2 linked regions of the Anolis sagrei genome follow. The protein of the gene in region 2 purifies or fractionates together with the protein of the main gene of each other region. This does not show direct contact. Links are inferred from orthologs where the notes say so. Each region holds a gene or a part of one and is shown on either strand. Other genes may lie near its edges.

Evidence for each region.
Region 1: the proteins of PFDN1 (region 2) and VBP1 purify together in Homo sapiens (affinity purification with mass spectrometry; 4 studies listed by BioGRID and IntAct, counting the BioPlex papers as one, with this or other methods). This does not show direct contact. The link is inferred for Anolis sagrei from reciprocal best matches to the Homo sapiens genes PFDN1 and VBP1.

Annotation. Positions count from the first base shown.
Region 1 is NC_090030.1:17,411,347-17,427,280, reverse strand, and holds the start of VBP1 (prefoldin subunit 3), read left to right. Parts: upstream 1-9,518; 5' UTR 9,519-9,556; coding exon 9,557-9,655; intron 9,656-15,934. UniProt on the Homo sapiens protein: Binds specifically to cytosolic chaperonin (c-CPN) and transfers target proteins to it. Binds to nascent polypeptide chain and promotes folding in an environment in which there are many competing pathways for nonnative proteins.
Region 2 is NC_090024.1:136,877,787-136,894,423, reverse strand, and holds the start of PFDN1 (prefoldin subunit 1), read right to left. Parts: upstream 7,328-16,637; 5' UTR 7,253-7,327; coding exon 7,220-7,252; intron 221-7,219; coding exon 54-220; intron 1-53. UniProt on the Homo sapiens protein: Binds specifically to cytosolic chaperonin (c-CPN) and transfers target proteins to it. Binds to nascent polypeptide chain and promotes folding in an environment in which there are many competing pathways for nonnative proteins.

The sequences.
Region 1 (15,934 bases), on a different chromosome or scaffold from region 2:
TGTGGGAGGCTTCTCTCATGTCTCATGGGAAGCCGGAGCTGACAGATGGGAGCTCACCCCATCTCTTAGATTCAAACCACTGACTTTAAGGTCAGCAGTTCACTCATTATGCCACCGCAGAAGGTTAACTATAAAAATAACATCCCAGTGAATCCTAGGACATGTTGTCCGGAGGTTGATGGCTCATTCCTACACACATTTATCCGGGATTTACTTCTGTGCTGCGTAAGTGAGCTTGTTCATGAGATAGTGCCCAAACTAATTCTCCTTTCTGGAAGCTAAGTTGCATTTTAACAACTTCATTGTGAACATGTTGAGAACATTAGAATGCTTGAGTAACACATCAAATTAATAGTTTCATTGCAACTGTGCCCTGATATATTTACCAGGGGAGTAGTGTTGTAGTGTTCCTCTTACAAGGTTGTCCTTAAGTCAGATAACACATGAGTGATACCATGCCTCTCCACTGAGGTCCCCTCTACACTGCCATATAAAATCCAGATTATTTGCTTGGAACAATCTGGATTATATGGCAGTGTAGAAGGGGCATGAGAAGTCTGGTTTGTTGAATTCAGTGGCCCCTGATCTCAGGTAAGGATTGTCACCTGAAACAGAAGTTTGCATGTCCTAGACTTGAGCTGGGTTGCTCTTGTTTACTTCCAAAAATGAAGAGAAAGACAGGCTGAGAGATCTTCAGCTTTCTCTGCCAAAGGAGTTCCTAAGACCATCAGAAATATGTGATTTCTGATGATCTTTGGTGACCCCTCTGAACCCCCCTCACAATCCGACCCCCAGGTTGAGAAATGCTGCTCTAGTGTGTTAAATCCTTTTTTTAGAAGAGGAAATTTCAGAAGATATTGCTGGATAACAAGCAACCCCTGCCAAAATACCCTTTTCTACTCAACCATTAAAGGTACAGAAACCTTACCTACTTTTACTTTGGCAACCCAAGGCATATCAGTTTTGAAACTAATAATGAAATGATAGTTGCTAAAATCAGATACTGCTTCCATCATATTTCATAAACAATGTGTCATTAGATAAGAATGTCCACCATTGAGTTGCCCTAAGAAGAAAAACATTGTGATGTGAACTGAATACATATAACATCATACTTGAAAATGTCTCTTCTAAAGCTGGCTTCCTTTTTTTTCTACATATGCATTCATTTCTAAAAAAAAGAAAAAGAAAAATCAATAAAGATATTTGAGTTCTCTGCATATAGTAAAAATGTGTAGAGTTTTTTTAAAAAAAGCAAGTATACTTTCCTTGACTTTAAAATTAAATACAGATCTGTGGATTTTTTTAATTTGTTTGTTTCTTGTGTTAGGGAAAGTTAGGTTTCAAATTTTAGAGCTGAACGCACTGTGGATCGGTGCTTTTATTTGTACATAAAAGGGAAAACTTTCTTAAATGGCTTGCGTTTGTGATGATAACATTGAACTGCGTCATGTATCAGTTGCTTATTTCCACTCTAAAGATGAGATTGCTGAGTGATCGAAACTGTGCATGCTCTTGCTACAGTTACTGGAAACTAGGAATAGAAATACTGCTCTGGACTTTGAAGATGTAATTAGACTTTTTTGACCATAATGTACTGCTTAAAATGTATAGTGGATGCATTTTTGTCCATAGTTGTCTGATAAAGCCTTTGTTTTCAAAGATTCTAATGGCCAAGATAGTCTTTCTTCTCTCCCTATGTCGCCATTTAACTTACATTTCTATAGTCATTTGTACGAACTAGTTGGCTGGGTTTTTCCAGAACACTGAACGATGAAACAAAGGTGCTAAACCCATCTTTTGAGGTTTTTTTCTGTGTTAGGAGCGACTTGAGAAACTGCAAGTCACTTCTGGCGTGAGAGAATTGGCTGTCTGCAAGGACATTGCCCAGGGGACGCCCAGATGTGTCACCGTCCTGTAGGAGGCTTCTCTCATGTCCCTGCACGAGAAGCTGGAGCTGACAGACAGGAGCTCACTCCACTCCCTGGATTCGAACCGCTGACCTTTTGGTCAGCAGTCCTGCCGGCACAAGGATGTAATCCATTATGCCACCAGGGGCTCCATCTTTTGAGCTGAACACATTCTTCTAATTATTTGGCCCATATCCCCTTCTTTTGCATTTGTTTATGTGTCTTAAAACACACTCGGTTTGTGCCTTCCAAGAGGGAAGGTTTCCTTTGTATAGGGTGAGTCTGTTATCAGTTCATCCTTACATACCTGTTCCCAGAGCTGTGTTGTTTTCAGAACCTTTGTATTTAAAATCTGTATTTAAAATAGGATTTGAATTGCGCCTTGTATCTAAAACAGAAGAATATGATTCCTTGCCCTTCTTAAGCTGTTTGGTAGGAAATGCCAGAAAGAGCTGGTGGCAGGTGGAGACAACCTATAATCCACTGTAGATGAGAGATTTAACTTGGTTTTGGGACAGACAAATGAAGTATAATTCATTTAAACTGTGTACTTGGTGAGATCCAAACTAAATTAGCTGGACTTTGGTGTCATTGAAATGGGGACCTGTTTGCCAAGGCTTTACCTACATGGATCTGGCTTGGCCTGTTGGGTTTGTCCTTCCTTATGACCTGGACATGCAATTATTGCCTCTCTTTGCCTTAACTGCTGTGGGCATAATGTCGCTCAGATTTTTTTCTAGGCTACTACTAAGTGAGAACGCAGTCAGAACCAGCTTGATATCCGACAAATACCATATTGACTCAAGTCTAATGCACCATCAAATCTAATGCGGATCTCAATTTTCAAAACCCTTAAACAAAAAAAAAATACAGATTATGTTCCTCCAATAGGAGCTCCAAGTGCTCCTGTAGCAGCTTCCTCCTTTGTTTTGGCCCAGTGCTAAGAGGGCCATTTTACATGAATCTAATGCATACTTTGGGAGCCCCTCGGTGGCACAGTGGGTTAAACCGCTGAGCTGCTGAACTTGCTGACCCAAAGATCACTGGTTTGAATCTGGGTAGTGGAGTGAGCTCCCGCTGTTTGCCCCAGCTTTTGCCAACTTAGTTCGAAAACATGCAAATGTGAAATCAATCATTACTTCTCCGGCGGGAAGGTAATGGCGCTCCATGTAGTCATGCCGGTCACATGACCTAGAAGGTGTCTACAGACAATGCCAGCTCTTTCCCCAGAGTTAGACATGATTAGACTTAATGTCAAGGGGAAACCTTTACCTTTTAATGCATACTCTTATTTGGGTAAGCTAATATAGCCAAAAAGGTACCAAAAGAAGCATTAAATTTGAGCAAATAGGGTATATGATCAGATTTCACACGTTTTTTGGCAGCCAGGCATGGAGGCAGGATTGCAAATGTGTCAGGAAGGAAGGGAACTAGTTTTGCCTAAGACGCCAATGCCGATACATATCCCTTGAACGTTCAGGGCCATTACTAGTGGAAATTGAAATTTCCCTCTGGGTGAGTTCATTGTCATGACAGCTTTGGCGGAATGAGCTACACCTCTATTCTAGTCCCTGATTCATTCCCTCTTCCATTTCCCTCTCCACTGTCCTTGCAGACTTGTGTATGAAATTCAGCCAAGCGTTTCTCACAGCGTTCAGTGTAGTCCTGGAGGCACTGAGCTGTGAAACAAATAGACCAGAAGTAAGTGCAGCGTTTGTAGAAGTTACCTCTATGAGATCAATGACATGAATCTTCAGGTGGTGCAGGAATGTAAATCCCTCGGCCAGTAGAGTCAGTGATGAGAACGCTGGGAGTTGCATTTCAACAACAGCTGAAGCTGCCGAGTAGCACCAGTACAACCAGGCAGCATGTAAGTACCTCAGCAGTGATTCTCAACCTGTGGGTCCTCAGATGTTTTGGCCTTCAACAGCTGGTAAACTGGCTGGGATTTCTGGGAGTTGTAGGCCAAAGCACTTGGGGACCCACAGGTTGAGAGCCACTGCTGAGGTCCTTACATGCTGCCTGGTTGTACTGGTGCTACTCAGCAGCTTCAGACTTTCTGATGCTCTAGAGCAGGGGTCCTCAAACTAAGGCCCAAGGGCTGGATATGGCCCTCCAAGGTCATTTACCCGGCCCTCGCTTAGGATCAACCTAAGTCTGAAATGACCTGAAAGCACACAACAACAACAATCCTATTTCATTAGCCAAAAGCAAGCCCACACTTCCCATTGAAATACAAATAAGTTTATATTTGTTAAAATTGTTCTTCATTTTAATTATTGTATTGTTTTTAAGTCCTTTTTGCACTACAAATAAGATATGTGCAGTGTTCATAGGAATTCATTCATGCTTTTTTCAAATTATAATCCAGTCCTCCAACAGTTTGAGGGACTGTGATCCGGCCCTCTGTTTAAAAGGTATGAGGACCCCTGCACTAGAGAATGAATACTCTTTAAATCAGATTTCTGCCTCTTGCAGAATTCTGGGCTTTGTAGTTTAAGCAGGAGCCTTTAAAAGCCTCACTAAACTACAAACCTCAGAATTCTTCAAGAGACAGAAACCAGATTTAAAGTGGATCCATTCTCTAGTGTGATGAAGTAGTTAGTCTAGTTATCCCCATAACAATGATGTGGAGCGCAAAATATATTAGCATTGTTCACCAGATTTTGATGAAAGCGTGAGGATACAGTTTTTCTGATGTGAAAGTTTGTTGGCCATTTTTAAAGAACCCTATAAGCCAAATTTTACAAAATGTGTATCTCCAGCTCATTAATCCTGTGCAGAGCTTGAAGGACATTGCTCTGGAAGAGAGATTCTACTTGAAACGGAGTTGATGCTACAGTCTTTCAGTCGTAGTCTAAGTGCCATGGCTGTCTCCTGTGAATCCTGGGATTTGTAATTTCCTGAATCTTGCACTTCTTTGCGTGACATCACTAGTGTACTTCAGAAGAGAGGAACTATGATTCCCTAGATCCCATAGAATGGAACCGTGACAAAGTGGTACAGAGCTGCTGTAACTGTAGTGTAAATACATATATTGGCTTGTAAAGATTTTCCCCTTTGCTTTAAACAATGCAAAGTTTTTAAACCAGTTTTGATGCCAGTGACCATTGCCACTTTACTTGAACTCCCTGCGGGTTAAATAATGGATGTTTGTATTGAAAGTCTTTCAATTCACCACGATCAACCAACAATAGTGTGATCTTTGTCAATGCAAGAGTTACATGACACACCAAATTAATCAAGAACATCACTTTTTACTTCATCAGACTAGAGAATGAATCCACTTTAAATCCAGTTTCTGTCTCTTGCAGAATTCTGGGGTTTGTAATTTAGTTGTTTTTTTTTTTTGTTGTGTCAGCAGCGACTTGAGAAACTGCAAGTCGCTTCTGGTGTGAGAGAATTGGCCGTTTGCAAGGACGTTGCCCAGGGGACGCCCGGATAATTTTGATGTTTTTATTATCCTTGTGGAATGGTTCTCTCATGTCCCCGCATGAGGAGCTGTAGCTGATAGAGGGAGCTCATCCGCCTCTCCCCGGATTCGAACCTGCGACCTGTCGGTCTTCAGTCCTGCTGGCACAAGGGTTTAACCCACTGTTAAAGACTCCTCCCTAAACTACAAACCCCAGAATTCTGTAGGAGGCAGAAACCGGATTGAAAGTGGATTCATTCTCTAGTGTGATGAGGTCCTTTGTCAACCTGGGTTCAACCTATTGTTTTATTTTTTAAAAAAATCATATTTAAAGCCCGTGTAACCATTTAATTCAACCTGGAAATCCAAGCTGTCACGTTAAGAAGACATTATGGATTGAATGTATTTTGAAATAAAATATGGATTCTGCATTTTTTTCTATTTATCACATTTGAAAATGCTTCTCTCAGTTAAGTTTTTTAAATACATCATACTTGATACAGATCAGTGGGGTCTAATGTGGTATTTCACCTGCTCAGAGTATGTCTTTTGCCCAATTCTGCATGTTCTTTTGTAGATGGATGTAATTTCTCTCTGAAAAGTTGTGAAAAGTGACCATGATGCATCTAGCCAAAAAAAGTTGTTTTCAATTCCTTTCTTTTCTCCCAATTCCTTATTTTGCTGAAGCACAAGGTTTGCTACGTTAACGTTTTGATAATCTCGACCCTTCATAACTTGGCAGGATGTATAGAAATGGAAATGAATGAGACTGTTGCATAGAATCCTCCGTTTTGTTAATGAAACAGGTTTTGAAAAATAAACTTTGGCACAAAGTTGGCTTGGATGTGTGTGTGTGTAATGTCTGTTAAAATCACCTTTAATTTCGAGGCAATCACATATTGGTTATTCAGCAAACTGTATCATTTCCTCAGCACCATTGTGAATTTATGCAATGGAAGGACCCATTCAAAAGTTTCAAGAACTGAGAGTTGCTTTCTGTCAATTCCAAAATTATCAGGAAGGCTCATGCTTTGTGATCTGAGATGGAAAAAAGCAACACTTGGCCACCTTTTCAGAAGGATTGGCTGTTGCTAGGTGAAGTGGCCCTCTGTGATGTTACTAGGAAAGAAAAGAAGTGGCATGTGTGTTGAGGGGAAGGGAGGAAGGAAGGAAGGAAAGAAAGAAAGAAAGAAAGAAAGAAAGAAAGAAAGAGGTGGGGAAAGGAGGGACGGTGGAGGGGGAAAAGAAAAAGATGGAAGGAAACAAAAAGATATAAAATATATGAGGGTAAGGAAAGAAGGGAGGAAGGGTGGGAAGGGGAGAAAGAAAAGGAAGGAAGAGAAAGAAAAAGAAAGAATAAAAAGGAAGGAGAGGAGAAAACAAATGGGAAAAGGTATGAGGGAAGGATGAAAGAATGGAGGAATGAGAAAGAAGAGAAGAGGGAGAAGGTATGAGGGAAAGGAAGAGAAAATGTATGGGGAAAGGAGGAAGGAAAGAAAGAAAAGAAAGGAAAAGATGAAAGGAGAAGACAAATGAGGGAAGAGAAAGGAAGAAAAGGGAGAAGAAAAAAAGGAAAAAATGGGAAAGGGTATGAGGGAAGGAAAGGAAGGATGAAAGAAGGGAGAGATGAGAAAGAAGAGGGAAAGGAATAGAAAATGTATGGGGAAAGGAGGAAGGAAAAAAGAAAGGATGTAAGGAGAATAAAAATGAGAGAAGAGAAAGGAAGAAAAAGAAGGGAGAAGAAAAAGGAAGGAAAGAAAAGAAACGGGAAAGGTATGAGGGAAGGAAAGGAAGGATGAAATAAGGGAGGGATGAGAAAGGAAATAAGAGGGGGAAAGTATGAGGGAAAGGAAGAGGAGAAAATATATGAGGAAAGGAGGAAGGAAAGAAAAAAGATAGGATGGAAGGAAGGAATCATAGAATCATAGAGTTGGAAGAGACCTCATGGGCCAACCTAAAAACCTCCAAAGAAGGAGCCTCCACCACATTCTGGGGCAGAGAGTTCCGCTGCTGAACTGCTCTCACAGTCAAGAAGTTTTTCCTCATGTTCAGATGGAATCTCCTTGTAGTTTGAAGCCATTATTCCACATCCTAGTTTTCAGGGCAGCAGAAAACAAGCTTGCTCCCTCCTTCCTGTGGCTTCCTCTCACATATTTATACATGGCTATCATATCTCCTCTCAGCCTTCTCTTCTTCAGGCTAAACATGCCCAGCTCCTTAAGCCGCTCCTCTTTGTTTTTGTTTTTTTTAAGTCCTTTCTGCTGTGTTTTTCAGTATTTTGGCCTGATAAGTGTCTTGTGTCCAAATTTGGCATCAATTCGTTCAGTGGTTTTTGAGTTATGTTAATCCCACAAACTAACATTACATTTTATTTATATAGATTGTGCCATATCCTAAGTTGTAGTATATACAATATGCAATATATTAAATTACAACATTATTATTACATATTTATTTTATTTTATTGTTCTTATATCCCGCTACCATTTCCCGCAGGACTCGGTGCTGCTTACAGGAGGCCAAGTCCAAAACAACATGAAAACAACAACAGCAACAAATAACTCAAAAAGCAAAAGCAATACAATAATAACACGACACAGTTTAAAAACATGAAGCAGGGCCAAATGTAAAGATTTAAAGTTAAAAACTGGGAAGTTCACAGGGGATAGGAGGAATGTTTTGGGATAGGAGAAAGTGCAGACAGTTCTAAGTCTCTCATAAAGTGCATTAAGGACATATTGCTTAAGATTCCTTATTCTGGGAAGGCACGCTGAAACATCCACGTTTTCAAGCTCCTTCTAAAGACTGCCAATGTTGGAGCCTGTCTGATATCCTTGGGGAGGGAGTTCCAGAGTGGCTGGGCCACCACCGAGAAGGCCCTGTCCCTCGTTCCCATCAATCGCGCTTGTGAAGCAGGTGGGATTGTGAGCAGGGCTTCACTAGATGAACACAGGGATCGTGTGGGTTCGTATACAGAAATGCGGTCATGAAGGTAGATGGGTCCCAAACCGTTTAGGGCTTTGTAGGTAAGCACCTGCACCTTGAATTGAGCCCGGAAAATGAATGGCAGCCAATGGAGCTCCTTAAACAGGAGGGTTGACCTCTCCCTGTAAGGAGCACCAGTTAACAGCCTGACCGCCACACGTTTATTTATTTGTCGTGTCAGAGCAACCAGTCCATTATATTACATTTCTAACAGAACAAAGCAAACTAACAGACAAAATACAAAACTTGTGAATTTGGTAGTTGGTTAAATGCCCTTTGACCAGTATCTGGCCACTTGGAGTGCCTCTGGTGTTGCTGCAAGAAGGTCCTCCATTGTGCATGTAGCAGGGCTCAGGTTGCATTGCAGCAGGTGGTCAGTGGTTTGCTCTTCTCCACACCCGCATGTCATGGATTCCACTTTGTGGCCCCGTTTCTGGAGGTTGGTTCTGCATCTTGTGGTGCCAGAGCGCAGTCTGTTCAGCGCCTTCCAAGTCGCCCAGTCCTCTGTGTACCAAGGGGGGAGTCTCTCATTTGGTATCAGCCATTGGTTCGGTTCTGGGTTTGAGCCTGCCACTTTTGGACTCTCGCTTGCTGAGGTGTTCCACCGAGTGTCGCACGTTGTACCAACTGGAATTTCCAGGCCGTTTTCAAGGGCAGCCCCACGTAGAGTGCATTACAGTAGTCCAATCTAGAGGTGACTAAGGCATGGACCACCCCAGCCAGATCCGCCTTCACTGGGTGTTGGTATATTACATACAATATACCAACACCACTACATTACAAAATTATTATTTCTATATATCGTTATATTGCTATTTATTTATGTATTTAATTAATTCAATTAATAAATAAACAACATATTGTATAAATATATAAACAATAAACATATTGTATAAATTTATATATATATATATACTCCCCAACTCTCCACTCAGTGTTGGGTGATTGTATTTGGGAGCAAGAGTCCAAAAAAAAAAGTAACTTTGCAATCCAAATGATCACAGAATACCTCCCTCCAGCTCCAGCCTAGGACTGAGCATGCGCCATAAGGGTTCATTCCAATCAGTCAATCAAGGCCGTTCTTGACCAATCGGGGAACGCTTTGTCCCGCCCACATCGCTTTAGCGTCGTCGCTGTCGTCAGGCGACGCCGAGCCCCTTTCCTTGAGGCGCCTCGGGCGCGTTGACGCGCATGCGCGTGTCCTTTCGTGCCGTTTAACCCCGCCCCTCGTCTTCTTCTCCTCCCCAAAATGGCGGCGGCCACAAGCGGCGAGGCGGTGGTTTGTGGCGACGGCCCGGCGGGGGGCGGGAAAAGGGGCCACTTGGGGATCCCGGAGGCCGTGTTCGTGGTGAGTAGAGGGCGGGGGAAGGGGGCGAGCGAGAGGCCGAGGAGCCTTTACTCGGAACCGGCTACCGTTGGGCCTGGAAGGCTGTGAGGGGAGGGGGTCCCTTGTGCGCATGCGCAGGGTGTCCACTGTGAAGGCTTGTAGGCCTCAGTCTTCCTTAAGGCCCTACCACACTGCACTGTTGTAATACTGTTGTCCCTCTTTAACTGCTTATTTCATTTCGTGTCAAAAGCATTTCGTGCATAATAATAATAATAATAATAATAATAATTTATTTGTATTCCTGGGTCCTGTTTGAACTTTTCTCCCTGCTTTGAGGCTCCCATTTGGTTCAGTCCATCAAAACAGCATTCCTGTGTGAACTTTCTTACATCTGAGACTATTGCCTTCCCTTGATGTATATTGCCCTGCCTGCGTAAGCTTCCTGGCGGGAAAAAAAGCCAGTGGGATTTTGGACTGCATCAATAAGAGTCTAGTGTCTAGATCCAGGGAAGTCATGCTGCCTTGGTTGGACCACACCTGGAATATTGTGTCCAATTCTGGGCACCACAATTCAAGAGAGATATTGATAAGGTGGACTAAAATGATCAAGGGTCTGGAGAACAAGCCCTATGAGGAGCGGCGTAAAGAGCTGGGCATGTTTAGCCTGAAAAAGAGAAGGCTGAGAGGAGACACGATAGCCATGTATAAATATGTGAGAGGAAGTCATAGGGAGGAGGGAGCAAGCTTGTTTTCTGCCGATGGGATTTTGGCCTGCATCAGTAGAGTTATAGTTTCTATAATAGAAGTATAGTGTCTAGATCAGGGGTCCTCAAACTAAGGCCCGGGGGCCAAATACGGTCCTCCAAGGTCATTTACCCGGCCCTCGCTTAGGGTCTTCCTAAGTTTGTAACAACTTGAAAGCACACAACAACAACAATCCTATCTAATCAGCCAAAAGCAGGCCCACACTTCCCATTGAAATACTAATAAATGTATATTTGTTAAAATTGTTCTTCATTTTAATTATTGTATTGTTTTTAAATGTTTTGCACTACAAAGAAGATATGTGCAGTGTGCATAGGAATTCATTCATGTTTTTCTTTTTTCAAATTATAATCTGGCCCTCCAACAGTTTGAGGGACTGTGACCTGGCCCTCCATTTAGAAAGTTTGTGGACCCCTGGTCTAGATGCAGGGGAGTCATGCTCCCCATGCTCTATTCTGCCTTGGTTGGACCACACCTGGAATATTGTTTCCAGTTCTGGACACCACAGTTGAAGAGAGATATTGACAAGCTGGAATGTGTCCAGAGGAGGGCGACTAAAATGATCAAGGGTCTGGAGAACAAGCCCTATGAGGAGTGGCTTAAAGAGCTGGGCATGTTTATCCTGAAGAAGAGAAGGCTGAGAGGAGACATGATAGCCATGTATAGGTGTGTGAGAGGAAGGCATAGGGAGGAGAGTTTTTAGCTTCCCACAAAAGGGATATTCATTTAGAGCACTACCTAACTATTCCATTTACACTGCCCTTAAGATGAATATATACTAGGGCTAGGTTTGAACAACTTGGTATTATGATGCAAACCGGGCGCTACTGTAACATCCCAAGAAGTGAGAGATTCTGCTGAGAGGAGACATGATGGCCATGTACAAATATATGAGAGGAAGTCATAGGGAGGAGGGAGCAGGCTTGTTTTCTACTTCCCTGGACACTAGGACACGGAACAGTGGCTTCAAACTACAAGAAAGGGGATTCAGTCTGAACATTAGGAAGAACTTCTTGACTGTGAGAGCCGTTCAGTAGTGGAACTCTCTGTTTTAATGGGAGTGTAGTGGAGGCTTCTTTGGAAGCTTTTAAACAAAGGCTGGATGGTCATTTGTCGGGGATGCTTTGAATGCAATTTTCCTGCTTCTTGGCAGGGGGTTGGACTGGATGGCCCATGAGGTCTCTTTCAACTCTATGATTCTATGTGATGGACTGGGTGAGGGCCAAGAAGCTGAGGCTTAATCCGGTCAAGACAGCGGTCCTCGAGGCCAGTCAGGGTATAGAGTAGCAACTTGTGCTCAACGGGTTTACATTTCCCCTGAGGACACAGGCCTGCAATCTGGGGATCCTCCTGGACTCAGCACTGACAGTTGAAGCCCAGGTGTTGGCGGTGGCTGGGAGGGCCTTGTGCAGCAACTGCAACCTCGAAAAGCCTGACTTGGCCACAGTGCTTCATGCCTTAGTTACATCTAGAATGGACTACTGCAATGCACTCTACGTGGGGCTGCCTTTCAAGATGTCTCGGAAACTGCAATTAGCCCAAAGGTCGGCAGCCAGATTACTAAGTGGGGCTAGTTATAGGGAGCATACACCCCCCATTAGTTTATGCAGTTAGTGTTTTCTGAACTCATTTTTAATTGTTTTTATTTGTTATGTATCTTGTTGTATTTTGTGTGTACTGCACTATTGGGTACTTTTCGTGCACCGCTCCGAGTCCCTTCAGGGAGATGGTGGCAGTGTACAAATAAAGTATGTATATACTATATATACATATATATTCTATATATATACACATACACAAACTATCCACACACATACACAACTAGGAAAGACCATCAGCTGTTAATTGCTTCTGCCTTCCCTTCCTTGCAACTTCCATTTGGCATTTTTATTGCTCATTTATTATCTATGTGAGTTGTCTTCCTGCCTGTTCCTCATGGCAGACCCTGCAATTGATTTCATCTCCGTGAAAAGACTAAGGCTATTTATTAATCAAACCTACTCTTCATTTCATATTGCTGTTTACTAATCAAACCTTTTATTCTTCATTAAATCAGGTCCTTGCCCTTTTTTCCCTTCATCATAATAGAGATCTCATTCTTCTCCTTGAAAGGTGTAACTGCCTTGGAGTCTCATTGCTAGATGTCCTTGCAGGAAGTAAACGTTATGACAGGTTTTCTCTACCCGAGGTCATAGCTTTATTTAATGTATTCTAGTTTTATATTAATGCAATGTGACTGCCTTCAAGACATTGACAACTTGCTTAGTTTTAATTCCACTTGTGGCTGTTTGACTTGTTTTAATTATTGTAGGCTTCCTTGTATTTAAATATTTAGATGCTGTAGGTTTTTGATTGCATTATTTTGAATGTTGTGTGCTACTTAGTTTCAATCAAGAGAGCAAAACAGGATATTAATAATAATGTAATAATAATAGTTTTCCTTGAAGTTGCCTCAAAATTATGGTGACCATAAGGCAAACCTATCATGGGTTTTCATGGCAAGATTTGTTCAGATGATATTTGCCTTTGCCTTCCTTTGAAGCTGAGAGACTGCGATTGGCATTGAATAGGAGGCCACCATGGAATGCAGAGATCCTGCTTAAAATCCTAGAGAGTCATTATGACTAGTTAGAGTTGGAGCAATGGTCCAGCTCATGACGAAGCACTGTTTGTAAGGTGTAACGAAGTAATTGATCGTAATGGAGGGTCTGCTAAAAACTCCATGTTTTATTTCTTTATTTAAAGCACTTGGGCTGCTTCAGCAATTTTCATTCTGGAAGGAGCACCTTTTATTAAAATGTTTGAATGAGTGGAGGCTGAGTCATAGCTGAGTTGTAGAACCCTGAATTTCAATCCCTGGATGCTTCAGCAAGATTGAAAAAAACATAGGACAAAGAGTAAGAAAAATCTAATGCTCTGATTAAAGTCAGTTTCATATACCTGCCATGAAGAAGACAGACTTATTTTCAGTTTCTAATGCAGAGTTAGTGCTTTTCAGGATGACTCTCTTTCCTTTGCCTAGATGTGAAGAGTGATTCTAAGTCTGATAGGTTTACCTTGTGTCGCCATAAGTTGGTAACAACCTGAATGTACACAACAACAGCAACAAATATCAAAAGATAAAAGGGCAGCATGAAGTAATCAACTTGACCATTTGAATGAAAAAAATTAAACTTTATGTGCCAATTTCATGAGACTTAGGGAGAAGGCAAAAGGTATGTGACAAGTACTGAAAATGCTTCCAGATGACTGGACATGAAATATTTTATAATATTTATTCACTTATATAAATTGATGAGCATTTGTATTGATGTATTAATTCATAGCACAGCTGGCCTGGTAACGTTAGTGAGGCAAATTGCAGGAATAGACCATCCTTGAATATTGTGGAATGAAACCTGTCTCTTAGGATGCACTTAGGTCAAGTGAAAATTAAACAGAACTTCAAAGTTAGCCATGGGAAATTAACTTTTAATGGGAGATTGCCTCATAATATTTATTCATTGCTGTAGGTATTCCTTGCCTAAGAAAACCATATAAAATTAATGGGATTGCCAAAAATTGACAAGAAACTTGAAGACACATACATTTATGTATTTCAAACATTAATATTTTGCCCTTCTCACCCCAAAGGGGACTCAGGGCGGACTACAACATACAAACGGCAAACATTCCATGCCAGGCTTAAAATAATTATAAAATATACACAAACATTAAAATCAGATGTTTAAAACCATGCTGGCTCCGATTATCGGAGTAGGTTCCCTATTGTACCATTGCACTGCCCAAAGGTTTGGTCCCATCCGGGTCTTTACCATCTTTCTGAAGGACAGAAAGGAGGGGGCTGATCTAATCTCGCCAGAAAGGGAGTTCCATAGCCATGGGGCACTCACTGAGAAGGCCCTCACCCCACCAAATGCGCCTGTGACATTGACGGAGCCAAGAGTAGAGCCTCCCCAGAATATTTTAGTATTTGCAGTGGTTCGTAAAGGAACATGCGTTCGGACAGGTAATTTGGGCCAGGGCCATTTAGGGCTTTATAGGCCAAAGTCAGCACTTTGAATTGTGTCCAGTAGCAAACAGGCAGCCAGTGGAGCTGATGTAACATGGGAGTTGTATGCTCCCTGTACGCCACCCCAGTTATTAACTTGACTGCCTCTCATTGAACTCTTTGAAGCTTCCAAACAGTCTTCAAAGGCAACTCCACATAGAGTGCATTGCAGTTGTCTATCCTGGATATATCATGTGAATATATCTGTAGTGTGTTTGAACTGTGCGTGAGAATGTACAAGTTGGTATGGTGATGGAAGAAGAGCAATGTTTGATCTATTCAAGTAGGATGTGCAACGGTATGCAAATAAATCTTTTCGAGTGAGACTTGCAATTCTCATTTTGGGATATTCATTCAATTAGTACAGTATCTTCCTTCCATGTATTTCTGTTAAGGATTCTGTGCGAATCCCTATTACTGTGTCTTATTTGGTTCTGCTTGTCATCTTCATTTTCTGGTTGTTGAGAATCTATGATCCTTTGAAGAAATCTTTTTTAAATGTCCCCTCAAGTGTGCCATCTCCCTTACTCCCTCGTGGCCTTATTTTTGCTGGAATCCTACATTTTTACAAGCACTCCCATTGATGTTGGGAGACATTAGTCCTTTAAAATACTAATATTTAACTTGTTGATCCATTAAGAGTCATGTCAAAAGAGTTCTGTGTATATTTACATGCTGGGATCATTCATTTTTAATACTGCAGGCATATCTGGCTGGCTATTCTACAAAATTCTCTATATAAGAAACTGCAAAAGGGATGGGAGTGCCCAGTTTATATTTATATTTCCAAAGCTCAATAGACTTGATTTTTACCAGCTCTACATGCAGACTACAGTCTGTAGTAATCAGTTCACTAGCTGAGAAAGCTTCTTAAAACAGGATGAGACAAATAGCCAGCGGCAACTATTAGCTGCAACTGCTGAATCTTCAAAAGCAGCTTACCTTTGAGCATTGGGTGCCCAGAATGATCAAAGAGTGTGACTTTTGGCTTCCTGCCTTGTTTGAGGATGTCCAGGGACATGTGAGTGTCGGCTGTTGGCAGCGAAATGCTGGTGTTCATGAGACCCAGCCTTGTTCCAGCAAGCCAGATTAGGTGCTAGGAATGAGCTCTTTTTTGGGCCGTCTCACCTTTTTGCTAATGAAACCCGCCTTTGGGAGACAAGGAACAGCTCCCCAATTATTGTGTGAGCTTGCACTGTCTACGTAGCACCTACAGTACTCTTGGTGTATTGTAAACATGATGATGTTTTGCAGTTGGTGAGTTTATGCCTCTTTCTCCTAGATTAGGAGAAATTTAGCCCACCTTGGATCCGTGTCTGCTGCCTTGCTTTTAGGTTGCTGGTTCCAGGAATTAGGGAGCCCTTAGATGTCCCAATTTTTCCAACACCATTGCTTCAAAAATCGATCTTTCTTACACCTCTCTCATTTGCTAGCCAGCGAGTGTTATCCAAATAGCTACTGCTTTTTCCTATCTCCATTACTAT
Region 2 (16,637 bases):
AACTATAACATGGAATATTCACAACATTACTTAAAACAAGAACAATTACTTACATTCTTCCTACACCTTCATACATCCGTGTTTCATCAGCCAGTGTCATAATTTCTGTATCAGTAAGATGTGCATGCTTTTTTGTCCTATTCAGTTGATCTATCTGTAGATCTGCAAGTTTCACCTTTTGCTGAGTATCAATGACCTTAGCTTGAAGTTCAGTAAATGCCTGATAGGGAAACAGCACAAATAAAGACACAGTTAGCAAAACAATCAAAAACTGAATTTGCTCTCCTATATTTGCTCTCCTTGAGACTTGTCTACATGGGTAAAAACATTATATGAACCCCTCAGGGGCTTCAGTGACCATTCATTTATAATGTATATCTTTGGACTTTAAACTATTTCAAAAATCCTTGCCTTTTATCTTGTGGTTTTACAGAAAATCCAGACTTTTAGATGTGTGGCTGTCTCTCCAGGTAGCTCAATTTGCTGTGTCGCTGGGGGGAGGAATCAATGGTGGGTAGAACTGGTTGGTAAGAGATTAAAGTGGTTGGTAAGAGGTGAACCACTAGAAAGTGGTTCCTTCCCAGACTAATTTTAAAGGCTCACATATTAGTATTAGCATAACCCAATTTAACAAAAAAAGTTTATTTGCATGTACGATGGAAAGAATAGAGAAAATGGGGAGAGTCCAATGTTTGTTTTCCCCCTTAAGCTTCTCAAACCCAATGCTTGCTTCAAGTCTCAGATCAGCTACATTTACATCTATTTCCCCACACAGCCACAGCTGTGAGGAAAGAAAGATGGCGAGTCAACGTGAGCAGGGCTCAGATGAAGTAGGAATTGATATTCCTATGTTTCCTGACCTCACCATCACTTCAGGTTCTCTCTTTTATAATTCACGCCTTGGAGGAAAGCAAGATTTCCTACATGTTCACTCAGTCATCAATCACAATGAAAAGTGCAATCTCTAGAAGTGGGGGACCTGAAAAGGTAACCATGGATGAACTAGATAAGTTCCTCAGATGTCATAATATATCACTGAATACCAAAATCAGGTCTGTCTGTGATACTGCATTTCTGATTTCTATGTATGGTTATAAAAGCTGGACAGAAGAAAAAACTGATATGAAGAGAATCAACTCATTTGAAATGTGCTACTGGAGGAGAGTTTTGTGCATATCATGGACTGCCAAAAAGGAAAATACAGGTAAATGTGTCCTAGAATAAATCGAGCTTGAATGTTCCCTGATAGTTAAGTTGGCTAAGGTGAGACTTCTCATACTTTGGACACACCATGAGAAAACATGATTGACTAGAAGGTATTGTCTTGATAGTTTTTTTAATATCTTAATTATTGTCTTAATAATGGTTGGCAAGGTAAAACGCAGTAGGAAAACTGAAAGGCAACATTTCAGGTGAATAGATTCAATGAGGAAAGTAATAGTCCTGAGTTTCCAATACTTGATAGCACAGGATAGCATAACTAGACATTGTCACAGTCAACAACAAACTTGTACTCCTGTTATTCAGTAAGTCAGCAGAACCTTTTATTCACTTAAATCAAGGGTGAGCAGATGTCAAGGTTGTGAGATCTAATTTGTTATAGTTTACTTCTTATTTACTTACAAATATTCACATAATACTAAGATTCCCTCAAAAATTCTCAAGTAGAGTACAACAGTAAAATATAAAGCAACAACACTATACAAAATAGTATATACTTCTTCTGTCAGGGATGTACAAATTCACCAAAAGCAGGAGCTACTTTTTACCTCCCAGGGACAATATTGTAGCAATGCACCTAAATTGTTAGTGATATGACATCAAAGTATTTTGCAGCACTTCTAACACGTTTCTATGATTATGGGACCAAAAAAGGCCTAATTTTTAATAGGGGCATAGAAGCTTGCAGGGGTGTCCTTAAGAGCTGCAAATATGGAATTTGGGGTTTATTTCCCTGTTTTATGTGGTTCAACAAACTGATATTAGCTTGGGTTAAATGGGGAAGGTTTGTATAAAGTATGTTTCTAACAGAATATTGTTCTAGCATGTATTTACACGAATCCTGAAATTCAGCAACCAGCAATAAATACAAAATGTTCAAGACACACTAGGAATAAGGGGACAAGACATTTCTGAGAATTAGAACAAGCATTTGTTATCAGTATCATATCACAAATTCTTTCCCACAACAGCTTACTCTGGTCTCCCCTTCAACATGTTCTTTAGAAATGTAATTTAGAAAATGAGGGGATTTTTAAAAATTGCTATGTTGTTCAAAGAAATTGAGTCAGAAACCCTTGCTGACCTACTGGAATTAAGTCAGATAACTACAATCTCCCTCAGCTCTGACTTGAGTTAAATAATGATTACAAACTATGTGTCAATGTAATTAATCAAAGATTACACTGAAAATAAAAATAATTATCTAATAGCTGCCTAAGCAACCTATATTTATGTCATCTACTATAATCTCTCTCTAGTAAAACAGCTGGCCTGACTCATTCATTGATATTTACTCAGCTAGTGAAGTGTTCTCCCTGTCACCTCCCTTCATTCAACATGTAGAGAAAGTTTTCATTACACAGCAACTGTAGGTAGGGAGGGAACTTAACACCATTTAATTGCTGTGGAGGGAAAACTACTATAGCCATGCTGAGCCTAAGCTTCGTGAGCTAAGAGCACGAGTTTTCAGGGGGTTCAGTGTTAACACACACTTGCCCACTAAATGTCTGGTTGGTTAGTATAATTATAGCTGTAGTAAAAGATAGCACAGCTGCAACCGTTCAATGAGCAGCATAATCTCAAACTCTCTTTTTAATTTTTTTTAATATCAGGTGTAACAAAATAGTGGATGTTGACAATCCTCCTTTCGCTGTATCCTTTTCATGACATTATATTTTCTACAAAAATCTGTGTTACCATGCAAATACTGTAACAAAGCCTATTCAGATATATTCCTAGAATCAAATATGTTTTATTTTCGGCAGAAAATCAAGAAAACTCTATCACTGTATTTTTGCCTCAACATTAAAGAATCTCTACATACAAAGAAGAACTATCACACTTTTATATACATAATGTAAAATGTAAAATACATGCACACATGTATATGGCTCTAACAGAATGCCAGCCACTCCCAAATAGAGTACACTCATTGAATTAATTGTTGATTAGATAAAACAAAAGGCTTAAATGGGGCTACTGTAGTCAGGACGACCAAGACAGTTTAGGCCACAATCTAATTATAACAAATTATTATTATATGGCATATTGCAGATATGCTTTCCATGCTGACGATTCCAGGCTGAACCTTCAGTAAATAGTATTTCAGATAGAAAGGCTAGGATATACAGTATTTCTGATTGAGATCTAGAAGACACAGAGCAAGTCAAACAGAGATGGAATGATCATGTGAAGGAGTTCAAGACAGGTTCCTATTGCTGTTATAGTTTCAACCCCTCCCGTGATCTTTTTTAACATAATGTGTTCCATATTGTAGCACTAGCATTCACTACACACAGCATTCATAGCATGTCTTCAACAGCTATCCCCCTTTATAATGCTGTGACATACAAAACCAGTTCTAGATATGATTCACAGATAACTAAGAAGAAGAATGACTGTCCTACCCACTACACATCCTCTGGTAAATGGCCATAGCAATAATGATCTGGTTTGTCCAGTAAAATACTGTCTATGCAGAAACATTAAATGAAATTCACAAGTCAAAATCTATGCAGTTAATTACAGACTGTAACAATGTTTTCAAGGATAAATACATTTTCTTACTATTAATTGGACACTAGACAAGGTTGGCACCAATCTGCCTTCTCTTGGAGGAAATGTCCATAGGGAGAGTGTTACTTCAGAGAAGGCTTTGGTATTGAATTCAATACCATGCAAATACTGCAACAAATTATATTATATGGCAGCGTGGACTCAGATAAGGCCTTTGATCTTTGACATTGTTGTTTTTAAATTGTGTTAGATTTTAGCCTGTTCTTGTAAGCCGCTCCGAGCCCCAGGGGAGTGGCGGCTTATAAATTTGAATAATAAATAAATAAATAATCAAAACAGATATTGTGGATTATCTGCCTTGATATTCTGGGTTATATGGCTGTGTGGAAGGACCAAAAGACAATCAAGGAGATGTGTTCTCAAGCTTCTTCTACAATGCCATATAAAATCCAGATTATTTGCTTTGAAGTTGATTATATGGCAGTGTAGACTCATATAATAATCTGGATTATCTGATCTGATAATCTGGATTATATGGCAGTGTAGAAGGGGCTTAGTGTTTTGTTTAAACAAGAAACAGTGGACTCTTCAATGAACTGTATGTGTGAGTAATGCTTCCTTAATACACAAAAGGCAAAATCTCGTCTGATAATTGAGCTAAGCAGGATCAGGTCTGGTTAGTACTTGGATGGGAGACTACCAATAAAAACCAAGGCCCCTTCCACACAGCTGTATGAAATCCACATTGAACTGGATTATTTGGCAGTGTGGACTCAGATAATCCAGTTCAAAGTAGATATTGTGTATTATCTGCCTTGATATTCTGGGTGATACGGCTGTGTGGAAGGGCCCTTCCTTGATTGTTAGAGACTCATACATAAAGGGCTCTGCTTGGATGTTATCTGCTTCTAGATAGCTCTGCCTTGACAATAGACAGACTTTGAGATTAAAGGGCCTAACCCAATGCCTAGTAAGTGGGAAGGTTCTGATGATTTCACTAGAATTTTGTTCTAAGGGGTAGTCCTAGTGATATAATTTTGAGAATGGACATTGACCAGAATTGCTCGGGGTAGGCCATTTGAATCTTTTAAATATGGCAAATAGATATTATATACTAGTGTATATACCCAATGATGCTTGTGTGTGTACTTTCTAATGAGTATTAGGAATACTCATTGTTAACGTTATCATTTTATGAATGTTTCAGGATGGATATACACTGCCCTGCATTCCAGGATCTGGTTCCGGATTATCTGCTTTGAACGGAATTATATGAAGCCCATTCAACCTAGCTGAATAAAATTCTACATTATTTGCTTTGAACTGGAATATATGGCAGTTTGGACTCAAATAACCCAGTTTAAAACAAATATTGTGGAATTTTCTGCCTTGATATTCTCGGTTATATGGCTGTGTGGAAGGGCCCCCGAGTCTACACTGCCAGATAATCTGGGACATTTTCCACACAGCTGTATGAAATCCACACTGAACTGGATTATATAGCATTGTGGACTCCGATAATCCAGTTCAAAGTAGGTAATGTGAATTATCTGCTTTGATAAACTGTATTAGATGGCAGTGAAGAAGGGGCCTGGGAGAACCGGTTCTGAGGCAACTTCCATTTGGCTGTATAAAATTATATGGCAGTGTGGATTCAGATAATCCAGTTCAAAGCAGATATTGCGGATTATCTGCCTTGATTTTCTGGGGCCCCTTCTACACAGATAAATAAAATCACACATTTTCTGCTTTGAACTGGATTATATGGCAATGTAGACTCAGATAATCCAGTTCAAAGTAGGTAATGTTAATGATCTCCTTTGATAATATGGATTATGTGGCAGTGAAAAAAGGGTCTTCTCAACCTGGAGTCCCCAGATGTTTTTGGCCTTCAATTCCCAGAAATCCTAACAGCTGGTAAACTGGCTGGGATTTCTGGGAGTTGTAGGCCAAAAACATCTGGGGACCCCAGGTTGAGAACCACTGGTAAGAGAACCACTTAAGGCCTCTTCTACACAGCTGTATAAAATCCACATTGAACTGGATTATATGGCTGTGTGGACTCAGATAATCCAGTTCAAGGCAGATATTGTGGAGGTCAACCCTCCTGTTTAAGGAGCTCCATTGGCTGCCGTTTACCTACCGAGCCCAATTCAAAGTGCAGGTGCTTACCTACAAAGCCCTGAACGGTTTGGGACCTGCCTACCTGCGTGACCGCATCTCCGCTTACGAACCCACGCGTTCTCTTTGCTCATCCGGAGAGGCCCTGCTCGCGATCCCACCTGCGTCGCAGGTGCGTTTGGTGGGGACGAGGGACAGGGCCTTCTCTGTGGTTGCCACCCGACTTTGGAACACCCTCCCCAAAAACATTAGACTAGCACCCACGTTCACAGTCTTAGGAAGAACTTGAAGACTTGGTTATTCCGATGTGCCTTTCCAGAATAGGATAATCCCCAACACTCTGTACCAGAAGCACTTTATTAGAGTTTAATATTATCTGAACATTGCACTTGCCCAGAACTCCAACATACCACCTCACACATCCAGGACTTTTAACCTGTACCCATCATTGGCCTGGCCCTGATTTTATTGTGTAATAGTGTAATGTTTTGTTGTGTTATTGCTTATGTTTTAATTTGCTTGCATCGTTATTGTTTGTTGTTGTTATGTTGAGGCTTTGGCCTTTGTAAGCCGCATCGAGTCCTTCGGGAGATGCTAGCGGGGTACAAATAAAGTTTAATTATTATTATTATTATTATTATTATCTGTGGGCAATTCCACACAGCCATATAATCCAGAATATCAAGGCAGAAAATCCCACAAGAGCTGCTTTGAACTAGGGGCCCTTCCACACAGCCCTATATCCCAGAATATCTGGGCAGAAAATCCCACAATATCTGCTTTGAACTAGGTTATCTGAGTCCACACTTAGATAATGTGGGATTTTCTGCCTTGATATTCTGGGATATAGGGCTGTGTGGAAGGGCCCTTGGTTATCTGAGTCCACACTGCCATATATTCCAAAGCAGAAAATGTGGAATTTTATTCAGCTGTGTGGAAGGGGTTTTAAAAGCACAGGCACCCACGAGTAGACATAGTCTGATGTTGATAAAAGCCTAAGCCGCCGTTTATGCCGGGTTTTCTAGGCAGAACTGAAGCAGAGGGGGTTGGCTTTGAGGCTGAGAGAGTGTCACCTGCCTCCCACTGCCCTCGCCCAACACTCAAACCGCTTTCCTGTGGCCTAGAGAGGCGGCCCCATCCTGAGGCGATGCTCTGATAGTTTCCTAGTACAAACACTCCAGGAAAAGGCGTTTTGTCTTTATGGCAAAGGCTCCAACAGGGCCTCTGGTGCTGCCATGAGCCCCTGAGAAACTCCGCTCCCGAAAAGACTCGCCTCAGACGACAACGGCCTCACACAGCTCTGGGCCTGAGCTTCGTTTATCTCTCTCCATCCCCACCCGCACCCCCTCCCGCCCCATACCTTTTTCAGCTCAAGGTCCACGGGCGCCGCCATTTTGCCTGCTTTGAACACGACTGCGCCTGCGCGCTGAGCAAGCCGTTCAACTGACGGCGTCCCCTTCGCGTACACATGCCCCGCGCTGCGCATGCGCAATAGGGGGATCCAGGCTAGAACTGTGTACTGTGGATAAGGTTGGACAGGGATACTTGGGTACTAGGTGATTCAGCAGCTCAAGGTCAGCCTGGGCTGGGGGATGCTGTATAGCCCAAACATACTTCAGTCTTAGTTAAAATCCAAGAAATTGCAAGTAGCCAAGTCTGGCCCACACTGGTCTCAGTTCTTGAAGTGTAATCAGAGATGACCCTCATCCCCCAGGACCCTGTAAAAGAGTTCATAATCAGGGAATTCATAGTTTTGCCAAGGACACCAGGCTGGAATGATCCAATAATCACTTATCTCTCCCCCATGGTGGAACCTAAGGCTCTTTCCATGGCCCCACATGGCAACGCCCCTGTAACCCAAACCAGCATCTGATCAATTTGGCTATTATTTATGAATTGGATTCCCTTTTTGTGAATAAAACTCCTGTTTTATGAATGGCTCAGTGAGCTTTGTGTCATCTTACATGAACTCTGGGTGACCAAGATGAATCTTCCCTTGATCCTGCATGCCTTTCCCTTCCCATATAAAATGCAGTATATTCCCCATATCCCCATCCATTATACGTATGTATGTCTGTATATCAGAAAACCAAAGTGCTCTTCCAGCAGTCACCAGCCTATTTATTTATTTATTTATTTATTTGCAACATTTCTATGCCACCCTTCTCACCCTGAAGGGGACTTAGAGCGGCTTACAAGGAACGCCCTTCCTACAGACATTAGGCTGGCGCCATCTCTCATGGCATTCCGAAGAAAGTTGAAGACCTGGATGTTTGTGCAGGCGTTTGAGTAATTTAGTGCAATCTGGTAATGAAACATAGGAATGGAACAATGGACGACGAACCTGGACTACGCTTGGATGATGAGAAGATTGGGTACGGTTGTTTTTTGTAATAATTGTGCATTGTAATTGCTTTTGGTAATTTATGGATAATGTGTTAAGTCAATTGTTATATGTTGTATGGAACCACTGCTGTTTCTACTGTTTTTTTACTGTTTGTGAACCGCTGTGAGTCGCCTTCGGGCTTGAGATACAGCGGTATATAAGCAAAGTAAATAAATAAATAAATAAATACAATATATTATATTATTAGCATAGTACAATATCAGTATTAAATATTACTATATTGTACTATACCATTATATTGTAATATTACATGTAATATAAATATATAATTATATTATTATTAGTATTATATTGCATCAAATTATAATATTATAAATATTTCATGTATATATTTATATTCTCTCTCCAATCCCTCTCCAATGCCAGAAATACAGCTTAATGTTGTAACATTAGAAAATGTTGATCATTTCTGCTACCTTGGCAGCCACCTCTCCACCAAAGTCAACATTGACACTGAAATACAACACCACCTGAGCTTTGCAAGTGCAGTTTTATTCCGAATGAAGCAGAGAGTGTTTGAGGACCGAGACATCCGTAGGGATACCAAGATGCTTCTTTATAAAGCTATTGTCCTCCCAATCCTGCTATATGCCTGAGAGATGTGGACTGTCTACAGACGTCACATGCAACTCCTGGAACGATTCCATCAGCGCTGCCTCCGGAAAATCCTGCAAATCTCTTGGGAAGACAAGCAGACAAAGGGCAGCATGTTGGAAGAAGCAAAGACCACCAGCACTGAAGTGATGGTCCTCCGCCATCAACTCTGCTGGACCGGCCACGTTGTCCGGATGCCCAACCACCGTCTCCCAAAGCAGTTGCTCTACTCCGAACTCAAGAACAGAAAATGGAATGTTGGTGGGCAGGAAAAGACATTTAAAGATGGGCTCAAAGCCAACCTTAAAAATTCTGGCGTAGACACTGAGAACTGGGAAGCCCTGGCCCTTGAGCGCTCTAGCTGGAGATCAGCTGTGACCAGTAGTCTGTCAAGCTAACCCTGACTGAGACCGCCTTCCACCTGGAAACCAATGCCCTCACTGCGGGAGAAGATGCAGATCAAGAATAGGGCTCCACAGTCACCTATGGACCCACCAGTACACCCATCTTGGAAGACTATCCTACTTGGGCAACAAGGGATCGCCTAAGTAAGTAAGTATGTCTATATAAAATATGAAGCAAGGTAACCCTTTCATGAGCTTTGCCACCAACCCAGGGCTCAGGAGTTTTCAAACTTCCTGAGCCAATAATCCCATTAACAAAGGTCTTGACAGAAACTCATTTGCATGGACAATAAGTAAATGGGCCCTTTTCCTGGACTTCGGAGGGCCTTGTTGGCTAGACCATCCAGGACAATGGGACTTATGGACATACAGAATCACCCAACCATACATTTCCCAACTGCAAGGAACCAGGGATTGTCACCGCCTCCCCACTGTGCCATTTCTCCATCTCCAAAAAGGAATTTCAATTCCCATCATCAAGCCAATTTTACAGAGCAATATGACGATGGAACTGGCTCTTTGGAGCTAGACAGAAGACGTTATTTCAAGACTCAAGACAATAGCCTGGGCTGAAGTTTGAGGGCTTAAGCTATCACTTTGGCCCCTTTATCAATACAGGCGCAGAAAGTGCCATTCATAACCCATCATCATGGCATTCTTTTCATTGTTTCCCATTTGCCCATCTCCTTCCACCTCATTGGCTGAGCGGCCAAAGCAGTGGTCGGGCTCTCATTGGATCTCCTGCTGGCTTGCTGACGTCACAGCCAATCACAATGAAGCCAGTTCAGGGGGGTGGGGGTGGGCATGGGAATTTTTGAATCTGACAGCCCTATAAATATTGTTTTTTCTGCCCATCCAGCATGTCAGCTCCTTGGGCAGATAACTGCAGTCATGATCACTTCCAGCTGGAATGAAATAAAACTTTGGTGGCTTTTGCTTCAACTTGGTGAGATTTTATTTTGGAAAATTGAAGGAAAAATCTTTCTTGGTGCTTGCTGTCTTATCAGGTGTTCCGGATCCTCTTTTTGGGTCTGGCCGGTCTCTGTCTAGGTAGGGCCTTCCAAATTCATGTTTGACATCAGAAGGATGTTGTTCCAGACTCCTCTGTTATCTTCACCTATGGCAGTCTACCCCCAGTGCCCCATAATACATTTTTCTTTTGAGGTATTGTGCAAGGGTAACATGCATCCTTGGAGCAAGATCATTCTACAAACACGTACGAGTGTTCCTTCGTTCCTCTGTGGTTGGTCTCCCCAGAGCATCAATGCACACAGAGGGCAGATAGATTTCTTGAGGAGTGGAGATGTTGCACAGACGCAGATGTAGCAATAGCAAAGTAAAGATTTGCCACTTTTGCACAAAACCTCAAGTGGGGGGAAAAATCACAGTGAGCCATTGTGGGAGAAACAGGAGGAGAACATGTGTAGACTCATGAGCGAGACATCTGGAGACAAATTAGAAAAAGAATGTGGAATTGGACACCGTGATACCTCTGTAGCAGTGGTTTCCAACGCTTGGTCCTCCGGATGTTTGGGACTTCAACTCCCAGAATCCCCTGACAGCTTGTCCAACTGTTACAAATTCTGGCTGCCAAAGTGCAAAACTTCTGGAGGAGCAAATGTTGGGAACCACTGCTCTATAGCAACTTACAAAATTAGCACTAATGTTCTAGCAATACAAACACAGTGTGATTTCTAGTTAAGAGCATCCCAATTTGAGAGTATTTTTCTCAGACCGGGTTTCACTTTGATATAAGAGCAGTGTTTTGAATTAAGAGCTAGCATCAGAGGGAGCACTAGCGCAGGAGTATAGGGCTTTGGGGCTTAAAGAGGCAACCTCTGTGTCTCCGTGCCTCATGGTCTGTCCACTTTAGGAGACTGCTGCCTGCTTTGCTCTTGTCCGCTTTAAGAGAGAGTAGATAGATGTTTTGGGGCAACTGAAGAGAACATTTCTGAAACTCTGCTATATGTTTGTTGTGCATTGGCATCTCTTTGTTCCTAACAGTTCAAAGAGATATCTAGGTACATCAGTCTAACTGCTGGGAAACCTAATTGCCTTGCATGAATGCTAGTTGATATTTACCACTAAGGAGAAGGTTGACTCAAGCGAGTTTTTAACTCTTCTCAGGAAGATCATACTTCTGAAACTCTGTTATATATGTTTTTTGTGCATTGGCTTATCTTTGTTCCTAACAGTTCAAAGAGATATCTAGGTACATCGGTCTAACTGCTGGGAAACCTAATTGCCTTGCATGAATGCTAGTTGATATTTACCACTAAGGAGAAGGTTGACTCAAGTGAGTTTTTAACTCTTCTCAGGAAGATCATACTTTGCAAAAGGTTTGGATCTCTAACAAGGTCATGCCTTTCCTAGGGTTATGATTATTCCAAAGGGTTGTGAATATCCATTTTCCAAAAGGTTATGGAGGTACTTTCAAAACATATTATAAGTGGACTATGAGAAGCAAAGGATCTCCAGCAAAGGATCACCGCCTTGTCGGGGCGCTGGAGCTTGAGCACCTCAATGATGTCATGAGCGAAACCGTGAAGGGCCACCCAAGACGGGACGGTTGTGGCAGAGAGGTCAGACCAAGCGTGATCCCTGGGGAAGGCAATGGCAAACCACTCCAGTATCCTTGCCAAGAAAACTAAATGGACCAGTACAACCAGAGATATGTCGGTATGCCATTGGAAGATGGGACTCCCAGGTCGGAAGATGGCCAAAATGCTACTGGGGAGGAGCAGAGGATAAGTTCAACTAGCCCCAGATGTGATGACGCAGCTAGCTCAAAGCCGAAAGGAAGGCTAGCGGCCGACGGTACTGGAGGCGAACGACGAATCCGATGCTCTAAAGATCAACACACCATAGGAACCTGGAATGTAAGATCTATGAGCCAGGGCAAATTGGATGTTGTTATTGGTGAGATGTCAAGACTAAAGATAGACATTCTGGGGGTCAGCGAACTGAAATGGACTGGAATGGGCCACTTCACATCAGATGACCACCAGATCTACTACTGCGGACAAGAGGAACATCGAAGAAATGGAGTAGCCTTCATAATTAATAAGAAATTCGCTAAAGCGGTGCTTGGATACAACCCAAAAAATGACAGAATGATCTCAATTCGAGTGCAAGGAAAGCCTTTCAACATCACAGTGATCCAAATATACGCCCCAACCACAGCTGCTGAAGAAGCAGAAGTAGATCAGTTCTATGAGGATCTGCAGGACCTACTGGATAATACACCAAAAAGAGACATCATTTTCATTACAGGAGACTGGAATGCCAAGGTGGGAAGTCAAATGACAACTGGGATCACAGGCAAGCATGGTCTGGGAGAACAAAATGAAGCGGGACGCAGGCTGATAGAATTCTGCCAGGAAAACTCGCTGTGTATAACGAATACTCTCTTCCAACAACCTAAAAGACGGCTTTATACATGGACCTCACCAGATGGTCAACACCGAAATCAGATTGACTACATCCTTTGCAGCCAAAGGTGGCGGACATCCATCCAGTCGGTGAAAACAAGACCTGGGGCTGACTGTAGCTCAGATCACGAACTTCTTATTGCCCAATTTAGAATAAAACTAAAGAGATCAGGGAAAATACACAGACCAGTTAGATATGATCTCACTAACATTCCGAGCGAATATACAGTGGAAGTGAAGAACAGATTTGAAGGACTAGATTTAGTAAACAGAGTCCCAGAAGAACTATGGACAGAAGTCCGCGACATTGTTCAGGAGGCGGCAACAAAGTACGTTCCAAAGAAAAAGAAAACGAAGAAGGCAAAATGGTTGTCTGCTGAGACACTGGAAGTAGTCCAAGAAAGGAGGAAAGCAAAAGGAAACAGTGAAAAGGGGAGATATGCCCAGTTAAATGCGCAATTCCAGAGGTTAGCCAGAAGAGATAAGGAACTATTTTTAAATAAGCAATGCATGGAAGTGGAAGAAGACAACAGAATAGGAAGGACAAGAGACCTCTTCCAGAAAATTAGAAACATTGGAGGTAAATTTCAGGCAAAAATTGGTATGATAAGAAACAAAGATGGCAGGGACCTAACAGAAGCTGAAGAGATCAAGAGAAGGTGGCGAGACTATACAGAAGATCTGTATAGGAAGGATAACAATATCGAGGATAGCTTTGACGGTGTGGTGAATGAATTAGAACCAGACATCCTGAGGAGTGAGGTTGAATGGGCCTTAAGAAGCATTGCTAACAACAAGGCAGCAGGAGATGATGGGATCCCAGCTGAACTGTTTAAAATCTTAAAAGATGATGCTGTCAAGGTGATGCATGCCATTTGCCAGCAAATATGGAAAACACAAGAATGGCCATCAGACTGGAAAAAATCAACTTATATCCCCATACCAAAAAAGGGAAATGCGAAAGACTGCTCAAACTTCCGTACAGTTGCCCTTATTTCTCATGCCAGTAAGGTAATGCTCAAGATCCTGCAAGGAAGACTCCAGCAATACATGGAGCGAGAGTTGCCAGATGTTCAAGCTGGGTTTAGAAAAGGCAGAGGAACGAGAGACCAGATTGCCAATATCCGCTGGATAATGGAGAAAGGCAGGGAGTTTCAGAAAAACATCTACTTCTGCTTCATTGACTACTCTAAAGCCTTTGACTGTGTGGATCATAATAAATTGTGGCAAGTTCTTGGTGGGATGGGCATACCAAGCCACCTTGTCTCTCTCCTGAGGAATCTGTACAAGGACCAAGTAGCAACAGTCAGAACTGACCACGGAACAACAGACTGGTTCAAGATTGGGAAAGGCGTACGGCAAGGCTGCATCCTCTCACCCAACCTTTTTAACTTGTATGCAGAACACATCATGCGATGTGCGGGGCTGGATGAATGCAAAGCTGGGGTGAAAATTGCTGGAAGAAACATTAACAACCTCAGATATGCAGATGACACCACTCTGATGGCCGAAAGCGAGGAGGAGCTGAGGAGCCTTCTAATCAAGGTGAAAGAAGAAAGCGCAAAAGCCGGGTTGCAGCTAAACGTCAAAAAAACCAAGATTATGGCAACAAGAATGATTGACAACTGGAAAATAGAGGGAGAAACCGTGGAGGCCGTGACAGACTTTGTATTTCTAGGTGCAAAGATTACTGCAGATGCAGACTGTAGCCAGGAAATCAGAAGACGCTTACTTCTTGGGAGGAGAGCAATGTCCAGTCTCGATAAAATAGTGAAGAGTAGAGACATCAGACTTGCAACGAAGATCCGCCTAGTCAAAGCCATGGTCTTCCCTGTAGTCACCTACGGATGTGAGAGCTGGACCTTAGGGAAGGCTGAGCGAAGGAAGATCGATGCTTTTGAGCTGTGGTGTTGGAGGAAAGTTCTGAGAGTGCCTTGGACTGCGAGAAGATCCAACCAGTCCATCCTCCAGGAAATAAAGCCCGACTGCTCACTGGAGGGAAAGATACTAGAGACAAAGCTGAAGTACTTTGGCCACATCATGAGGAGACAAGAAAGCCTAGAGAAGACAATTATGCTGGGGAAAGTGGAAGGCAAAAGGAAGAGGGGCCGACCAAGGGCAAGATGGATGGATGGCATCCTTGAAGTGACTGGACTGACCTTGAGGGAGCTGGGGGTGGTAACGGCCGACAGGGAGCTCTGGCGTAGGCTGGTCCATGAGGTCACGAAGAGTCGGAGACGACTGAACGAATGAACAACAACATGAGAAGTTAAAGCTCACAGCCCAGATAACTGCACATGGATGGCACTGCCCAAAACAGAACTGGATTATACTTTATGAATGTGAATGAATTTCAGAATCTACCAAAAATATACTGAAACAAAATAAAGTACTTCAGTCAGCTGGGGAAGAAGAAAAATCCAGTTATTGTTAGGAATTAGCAGCACAAAGGAAACTTCATTTGGATATCGGAAATAAGAGTGATAGGTAGAGTAATAGGGAATGCCGCATCATGGCAAATGTGGCAGTCTGGAAAAGTTCCTAATATGGAAACAATGAACATATTAATCTTTTTCTAGACTGCAGAAAATGCTGTGTTTGAAAATGAGCCACAAGACCAGGACAATTTTCAGTTGGCATAGTGAAAATATCAGTCATAAGTTTTCGAGGACACCATTAAAAGTTGTACTTCCGATATATAAGTCCCATATCAGCTAAGAAGTTATCTGTGTACCATTTAAGGTTGAGAACAATGCACAGGAAGACTCATCAGTCTCAGCAATGTATGTACCATTAATGCATTTTCCTCACAAAGAAAACTTACAGGAACATGCTCTCTGACATTTTTTTGTTTATGTTTGTCTGGGGTTTTTTTTACTCTTTAGGTATAAACTAAAGGAAAAAGGGACAGAAATGTAAGCAGTTGTGTAGAAACAAGTGTAGGATGCATTGAGTCGGGTTGGGTGTTGCTTTTTCCACTGAGCGTACATTTACACCAGGGAGGATGTTAGAGAAGTGGGCTGCTGTAATTTCCTCAGAAGGAGTTTTTTTCCAGCTAGCATTTGAAAAGCCATGAAAAATGCTGTGGTCAGCATCTTGGTTTTATGGCATCTGGAAAATAGATTCCTCCAGCTGCAGAGTACCCACGATTGCTGCTCGGGGCTATTGATTTAATAGTGACTCATAGTGAATGGGTGCCAATAAATGAATCATTCACATCACTTCCTACCATACATATGAGTTTTCCTTGCACCCTCTCATCGAAGTAATTACTATACTCCGCTCTTATAAATATGAGGCCTGCTGGACTCTTCATGGCACAGCTGTAGCAGCCTTTGAGATGGAAGTTAAAATTAAAACAAAAGAACAAAAGCAGGAAGTCAAAAATGTGTACAAGCTGGTTTTGTATTTACTTTGCCGAAAGTTTACTTTACATAAAGTTTGCTAATATGTGTTTCCATGTTACTCGTACCTGTTTCCGATAAATTAACCTCCTTAAAATTACAGCTGCTATCTTTTACAGGTGATATAAAAATGTTATCTTTTAAGGTAAAGGTTTTCCCCTGACATTAAGTCCAGTCGTGTCCAACTCTGGGGGTTGGTGCTCATCTCCATTTCTAAGCCGAAGAGCCAGCCTTTACCATAAACACCTCCAAGGTCATGTGGCCAGCATGACTGCGTGGAGCACTGTTACCTTCCCGCCAGAGCGTTACCCATTGATCCACTCACATTTGCATGTTTCCAAACTGCTAAGTTGGTGGAAGTTGGGCCAACACCGGGAGCTCACGCTACTCCCCGAATTTGAACCTGTGACCTTTTGGTAAGCAAGTTCAGCAGCTCAGCAGTTTAACCCACTGTGTGACGGCGTGAGTGGCGCCACCTATGTATAGAACTGTTAGTTGCAAGATTTAAACTGTTTTATCATGCTTAATCCTGCCCCTT